Ovis aries: one gene and its partner. The protein of the gene in region 1 purifies or fractionates together with the protein of each later gene. This does not show direct contact. Links are inferred from orthologs where the notes say so. Each region holds a gene or a part of one and is shown in the gene's direction. Other genes may lie near its edges.

Region 1 (4,261 bases):
AAAGCATCAACTCTGGTGCTCAGCCTTCTTTATGGTCCAGTGAGCATCCCTACATGACTACCAGAAAAACCACAGCTTTGACCAAGACAGACCTTTGTCGGCAAAGTAATGTCTCTGCTTTTCAATATGCTGTCTCAGTTTGTCATAGCTTTCCTTCCAAGGGGCAAATATCTTTTTGTGCAACCTCATGGACTATTGCCATGAATACTGGAGTGGGTAGCCATTCCCTTCTCTAGGGGGTCTTCCCCACCCACAGATCGAACCTGGGTCTCCTGCACTGCAGGCGGATTCTTTACTGTCTGAGCCACAAGGGAAGCTCCTTCTCATAGTTACCTGCTTTATAAAGGTTTAGAATGGTGCTAATAATAATGATTAGACTAGTAACTCCTTACATTTAGTTTATTAAAATATTTGATTACTGGAAGGATCCTGGCTTCAGCAACGTGCTGGGAATTTGTGGGCAAACTTTCAGAGGAAAATCCAGATTTAAAGAAAATTGATTATCCTATTTCTTAGGTTGGGAAGTAAAAAGCTCAGTAGTTATGGAATGTTCTCTTTCCAGACCTGGGCCTGAAATAATGGAAGAAAATACTCACAATGTAATGCAAACATGAAGCATCACGAGTTCGTACTGGGGCTCTCACTGGTCTTTGTGTCTTTAAGTAAATCCCTTCAAGTTAACAATGAAATCAGCTGCTTATTATCTTGGAGAGGAAGGAATGAGAATTTTAACACACACAACACCCCCTCCCCCCGCCCCCCGGCCCCCACACACACCCCCAGCTCTTGCAGCAGCTCTTGCTTAAATATCACTTCGGGATAATCATAACCTGTGGGCAGACCTTCTTTCCTGTCGGGTTAGTTTCTAACCTGGTCATTCTGCGCTTATTTTTGTCCGTTTCTCCACCCACTTGGGAAAGGCAGGAAGGCAGGCACCGCGCAGCCCCCGAGAACGGTGACTGAGACCCATGGCTTCCTCCCAGCCCTCCTACCCCTGCCAGGAGCCGGAAGGCCTGCACGAGGGCCAGGGTCTCTCCGGGACCCGGGGTCTCCCCCGGGCTTACGTCAGACTGTCGGGGGGCGGGGCAGATGACTGCCTGACTTTCGCCTTCTGCTGTGCAGGCAGGAAGGGCCCCCAGGCACGCGGTCCACATCCCCGCGGCTTCCTGGATCTCGGGGCTGGGATGGTGTGTGGGGGTGTAGGTGAGGCTTCCGGGGGTGTGGAGCAGCCAGGTGTGGCTCGCTGGGCGGAGGGGGTGGGCGGGGTCGGCCGGGGCAGGTCTGCTGTGTGCCGAGGCTAAGGGGCGGGCCTTGGCGCCCCTGGAGCTGCCGGGCAACTTTTCCCGGCTCACGCCCGGGAGCGGGAGAGAAGCCCTCGGGACGGCTTCTGGAGAGTCTCAGTGTCCTTGGATCCCCGCGCAAACCCACAGCAGCTCCAGCGCCAGGGCGACGGGCTCAGGATGCGGCCAGGACGGACAGGCGGCACGCCGCTGCAGCTGGTGTTAATGGTCAGTCAAGGTAAGCGACGTCTTTGCTCCGCATCGGTTGCAGGAGGAACCTGCGTGGGTCCCCGGGTGGGGGCACGAGCCAGGAGTTCTGCGCCAGCGAGACGCAGGCGACTTTCGTCTCGGCTCTGATTCCACGTGGACCCAGGCTTCCAGCCTTCCCCGCGGGACGGAGAGGGACTCCTCATCCCAGCTCCGGCTCGCCCCCGCCTGGTGTCCCCATAAGGCGTGTCTCACCCTGTCTGTAAAGCACCTTTCGAAGTTAACTGGAAGCGCGCTTCGCTCTCAGGCACACACGCAAGCGCACAGAAGCGTGGGGGAGTGGGGATTAGCTGGGCGCCTGCAGTCCGGCTCAGACAGGTGCCCCGCCAGACCCGGACTCCGGGGTTCTGTGCATCCCGACAGCTCGGTCCTGGGAGGTAGCCTGACCCTCAGCGCGATGCCTGGTGGCTTTGCAGGAGCCTGGGAGCCCATTAAGCTTATTTTTCAACCCGGAGCGTGTGACTAATGTCCTCATTTCTCCAGAACGCAGCACTGCTGTGTCTTCCCTTGGGGGACGTAGGAAAACCAAGCGCCTCTTAGATGCTTGGCAGAGGGGAATTCTGCCCTTCTGCCTTCCTCTTATTGTTGTAACGTCGTCTGTTCAACGAATGCAAACTTAGGTCCAGAAAAAGTTTTTTCCACTTTCTCGATCTCTGGCGCTACAACAAAAGAATTACGCGCAGCTGTAGCTCCTAGGGCAAGGCGGTGACAGGCAGGTCCGCCCCTCCCCTGACCCCTTTTTCACTAAGTGGAGAAATGAATCTGGGGGTGCCCAGCTGCGGCGCGACCACAGTCCCTCAAGAGCGCGTTGTCCAAACTTTATCCAGAGCCTCGTGTGTGCTTATTTCAAGAACTTTAGTTTACTTTTGGGGTGGAGTGGGGGAGTCACATTTGTATTTTGTAATTTGAATAGCTAGCAAAAGAAAAAAAAGTGGTCTCATTTTCAAATGTTTATACCTAGAGGATAATCTTTGCTAAACTGCCCTCCTTTGAGGCGCCAGTTGCTGTCCTTGATCCTGAGAGAAATCTAATGCAGAAGAGCCTTGTAGCCTTTGCTCCAGGTTAGAGAAATAGCAGAAATACAGAAAAATAGCAGAGAAAGAGAAATTGTCCTCACCCCAGCAGAGAATAGGCATCAGTTAGTTTTCTTCTCTAATCCTGGGTCTACTACCTCAGATATTCTCTCCTGGGACCCCAAACATGTTCTTATGGGCCATCAACCCTAATCTAGAGGTTTCAGATAAAGTTACTTTCACCTTGAGATTCAGTCCCTGGAGACCACCACTTTCCTAAGAGCTAATGGACCCTTCAGTCCAAGCTTTTCAGCTCTCTTTAAGTGCCCTTTATTAACATAAGCTATGGAAATATAACATTTTCTTATTTTCGAAGTGTTGAGGCTTGTTCATAACAAAGCAGTGAGAAATAACTTTAAAGGAATGTGGTACTGCAAGGCATAAAGTCAGGTTCAGAGTTTTTTTCCCCCCAGAGTTGGTTAACAAGGACAACTCGACACCTTGCTGCAAGCCAGCAGAGGTGATATAAAATGACATCTGTCCAAACAGTTTGTGTAGTTCCTCCTTCCTCCTGCTCCAGGTATTTCTGTACTCAAGGAACAGGTTTTCTCTTAATTCAGGATGATCGTAATAAAGCTTTCTCATTTGTGATCTGAACCCAAGTTCCCAGGAAAACAGCATCGTTTCTCTGATACCATGCATATCCAATATTAAGGTGAATAATTGAAAGCTCTCAGTTTGTGACAGCTACAGTTTTTTATGGCATGACCCTATCTGTATAAAATTTTTGAGCACCCATCATTATTATACATACATATTTGTAGTTGTTTATAGGTTATATCCATGTATAATTGTTCAATATAAATACCAAAAATTAAAATGTAAAAGTCTCATATGTGTGTGTGTATTTATACATCTAGCATACACTCCAGCATATAAGCCAACCACTATAGAAACTTAAAACCATCAAATCTCATTTTAACACTTAGATTCAGATTGGCTGTCTATAAACATTCTCACAGGTATTTAAGAAAAAGCAGTGCTCTTAGTTTGGTCTCATATTTATCACCTTTCATTGATCTTCCTTGATTTAAGTGCTTGCAATCATTGAAGTGGTAACCAGCAGGTTGAGACTGGAAAAGAAAGACCATAAGAGGCCTGGATAATCCATAAACCAAGGTCCATAGAGGAAAGGGAATGTGATTTTTAAATGCATGACGTCACTTACACTCTCTAGTGTGTTGCTTGGCCAAGGATAATCCTTGCCCCTGGATTCTAGGCCTCATCTTCTGCTATCTCTGGTACCCTGCCCAAGTCACCACTGTCTAATGAATATTTTCAAATCCCTAATTTCCCCTCGGGCTGTAAATATTCTAATTTCCCTCTTAGTAAGCAGGCCCTCCATTAGTATGTGATTTGGCCGCTCTTTCCTCCTGAAACACCGTCCATCCCTGGCTTCTGTTCCCCCTGTTTGTCTCCTATTTTCCTGGCTGTCCTTCCTTAGTCTCCTTCACAGGCTTGGCTCTTTGACCCAGTCCTTGCTGGTGTTCACAGAGTTCCATGCTGGATCCTCTTCCTTCTACTGGTTCTCTTTGGGCCTGCTCCCCATTCAAGTCAGCATCTCCAGCCAGACTCCTCTGCTGAGTTCTGGTTCAGTAAATATCTCCACTTAGGTGACTTCGTGTCCCCAACCAAAGTGGA
Region 2 (3,651 bases), on another chromosome or scaffold:
TTGCAGGAAATGGTGTTTGCAAGTGTCGAGTGTGTGAGTGCAACCCTAACTACACCGGCAGCGCCTGTGACTGTTCTCTGGACACCACGTCCTGCATGGCCGTGAATGGACAGATCTGCAACGGCCGCGGCGTCTGCGAGTGTGGGGCCTGCAAGTGTACAGACCCCAAGTTCCAAGGGCCAACCTGTGAGATGTGTCAGACCTGCCTTGGAGTCTGTGCTGAGCATAAGTAAGTCTTTCTCAGTTGCTTGAAATAGGTGATTGGTCACTGTCTGTTCGCCTGTGTGTGATCGCACGGTACCTAGAACAGTGCCGACACCAGGCCACACTGTAAATAAAGTATCTGTCACCTTGAAGCCCACTTTTTAAATCTAAAAATTCTCAATCGCTAGTGTTGGCACATGATAGTGAATTGTATCCTATGAGTGTGGTGGTACCATTATTTCAACCTGAATTTGGTATTTAATTGAATCCATGTGGTAACCTTTGTTAAATTAGTATTACCAATTGCTATTTACTGCCTTTTGACTAAATAAAATGGAAGGTTTTGTCTAGCAGAAAGAACCATAATATCAGCAACACATTTCAAAAGTTATTTTGGCTTTATATTGTATATTTCATTTCTGATTGGGCTAGTTTTAGCTTACTACTCTTATTTCTTTTGGAGGATTTTAGTTTGAGCTATAATAAATCTATAATTTCACTTAGGAAGCTAGCATCTTTTATGTTTAGTTTTCCCACCAAGAAATGTCATATGTTTCTTCATTTATTCATATCTTCTTTCATCTCTCTTGGCCAAATTTGGTCAAATTTTGAGTCTAGCACACAAAATAATCTTTGAGCAAATATTATTATAAATAATAAATATAATCATTTGCATTTTAACAGAGAATGTGTTCAGTGCCGAGCCTTCAATAAAGGAGAAAAGAAAGACACATGTGCTCAGGAATGTTCACATTTCAACATTACCAAGGTTGAAAATCGGGACAAATTGCCCCAGCCAGGCCAGGTGGATCCCTTGTCCCACTGTAAGGAGAAGGACGTTGACGACTGCTGGTTCTACTTCACATACTCAGTGAATGGGAACAATGAGGCCACTGTTCATGTTGTAGAGACTCCAGGTAGAAATCTGATCATTTCAAAGTTTTTTGCATTTTCTTTTATGTCTTTCTGCTGGTTAGAGCTTTTGGCAGTTCCCCTTGATCCCTGGGTTGGGAAGATCCCCTGGAGAAGGGAAAGGCTACCCACTCCAGTATTCTGGCCTGGAGAATTCCATGGACATTCCATGGAGTTGCAAATAGTCAGACATGACTAAGCGACTTTGACTCACTCACATTTAGGAACAGCTTCCAGCTACTTTACATGACTACTTTGCATTCAAGTTAGGACATTTTAATCTCTTCAAACTTAAAATAGTATTTAATTAACTATAAGAAATAAGGGAAAGAGAAAGCAAATTTTATGTTATGGAGAGTTTGAAGAGTAAATGCAGTAACCCGTATAAAGCCCTTAGCACAGTGCCTGGTAGAAGGTACTCAGTAGCATCATCACTAATAATATTTTTAATAGCAGCTTGATTTAGGCTTGGACGCTGGGAAAGATAATTGTTAAAGGGTATTATATGGCATGAATTTGTTCTGCTTTTCAAGAGAGGAATCATTTTTATCTTTTTTTTTTCTGGGAACTTTTAGTACATTCTTTGGAATTTTCTGCATTTGTGATTAAGTTATTATTGGAATGTAAGTTTTCATTTCTCTAGGATAAATGTTAGGGATTGGGGAGAGGGCATATATTTAACTTCAAAAGAAACAGGCAAACTTTTTTAAAGCCTCTGTTATTATTTTGCATTTTCAGGTATGTGTGTTTCAAATACTGTTTTTTGAAGACCAGAAGCTTAAATTTTACCAAGTTTTTCTTTTGTAGATCTTGCTTCTTACTACCTTAGAACTCTTTGCATAACTCAACTTCATAAGTATTTTTCTCCTGTGTTTTCTTCTGAAAGTTTTAGTTTCTGGATTTGCGTTTAGGTCCATAACGTATTTTGGGCTGCTCTCAGTATCTGGAGTGGAGGTCCAGTTATTTGTAGGTAGATTTCCAGCAGTTCTTGTACCATTGCTTGAAAAGGCTGACTTTTCTCCACTTTGGGTGAAAATAAGATGACCTTATGTGTGTGGGCCTGTTTCTGACTTTTGATTCTGTTCCATTAATTTAGGCATCTGTCCCTTAGCTAATAACACACTCTTTCAATTACTGTTGCTTCACGGCTAGTTTTGTGACATCTGGTAATGTAAATTGTCCAGCTTTGTTTTTTCCTGAAAGTGTTTTTGAGACACTTTCCTAGTTCTCCTACTTCTTTGTAAATTTTAGAATTCGCTTGCTTGATATCCCACACATGTCCTGCCAGGATTTTGATTGGGATAATATTGAGTTTATAGATAAAATTGGGAGAGGATTGTCTAATCAATTGTCTAATTGATGAACATAGATAAAATCTCTCCATTTATTCAGATCTTTTTTAAAAATCAGTGTTCAGTAATTTTTAGCATATAAATCTTGTACATGTTTTATTAGGTTTATACATAAGTATTTTGTGATTTTGGTGCTATTGTAGATAATACTATTTTCTGAGGTTCCGTTTCTAATATATAGAAATCAGTTTTGGTATAATTCATAGAAATACATGATTTTTATTTATTGATCATGTACCTTATGATCTTGTAAACTTATCTGTTACTTCTAGTATCTTTTTTTATAGGTTCTTTTGGATAGTGTGCCCCAAGATACGTCACTTATCTTGGAGTTTCTATTCCTGTGTCTTTTGTGAGACTGCACAGCTCTCTGTGGTTCTGGCTGCACCTTCACAAGCTAACCCCCCTTGTGTGCGTATCCTTTGCTTTTTACTTTACAGAGTGCCCCACTGGCCCAGACATTATTCCGATTGTAGCAGGTGTGGTTGCTGGGATTGTTCTTATTGGCCTTGCATTGCTGCTGATTTGGAAGCTTTTAATGATCATTCATGACAGAAGGGAATTTGCCAAATTTGAAAAGGAAAAAATGAATGCCAAATGGGACACGGTAAGTTGGAAAACATCTAAAATGGAAGGTGTTTCATAAAGTAAATGTAACGCTTCTAAGACTTGTTTATTAGCTCTAAAGCTGATTATTAAAGTCCTTTAAATATTTCAGTTGCCCCCCAGAATTTATTATTCAGGAAACTTGCATTCAGTGAAAAACAGAAAACATCTTAAATACATCCCATTAAAAGAAAATAGTTGTAAGAATGTTTCTTCAGGTTACTGTGGTATTTTTATTTTCTTATTAATTTTAATCTTAACTCTGCTCTTCTGCCTTTTCTTCTTATATAAAATAGAATCCTGGGGACTTCCCTGGTGGTGCAGTAGTTAACACTCACTTCTAACACAAGGGGTGTGGGTTCAATCCCTGGTTGGGGAACTTGGATCCCACATACTTGGCATGACCAAAAAAATTAAAACCCTACATAATTTCAGACTATTCAGTGGAAAGCTGCTGCTTTTTTTTTTTTTTAATTTAACAAAGAACCCTAAGTAGAAATCAGCCACTCAAAAGACTACGTGCTGTGTAATTCAATTTATATAATAGTCTAGAAAAGGCAAACCCATGGGGACTAAA

What was found. Proteins that work in one complex are often made in the same cells at the same time.
Region 2: the proteins of ITGA2 (region 1) and ITGB1 purify together in Homo sapiens (co-immunoprecipitation; 3 studies listed by BioGRID and IntAct, with this or other methods). This does not show direct contact. The link is inferred for Ovis aries from reciprocal best matches to the Homo sapiens genes ITGA2 and ITGB1.

Annotation. Positions count from the first base shown.
Region 1 is NC_056069.1:26,266,148-26,270,408, reverse strand, and holds the start of ITGA2 (integrin alpha-2), read left to right. Parts: upstream 1-1,359; 5' UTR 1,360-1,460; coding exon 1,461-1,518; intron 1,519-4,261. UniProt on the Homo sapiens protein: Integrin alpha-2/beta-1 is a receptor for laminin, collagen, collagen C-propeptides, fibronectin and E-cadherin. It recognizes the proline-hydroxylated sequence G-F-P-G-E-R in collagen.
Region 2 is NC_056066.1:19,329,678-19,333,328, forward strand, and holds part of ITGB1 (integrin beta-1), read left to right. Parts: intron 1-6; coding exon 7-229; intron 230-888; coding exon 889-1,121; intron 1,122-2,908; coding exon 2,909-3,075; intron 3,076-3,651.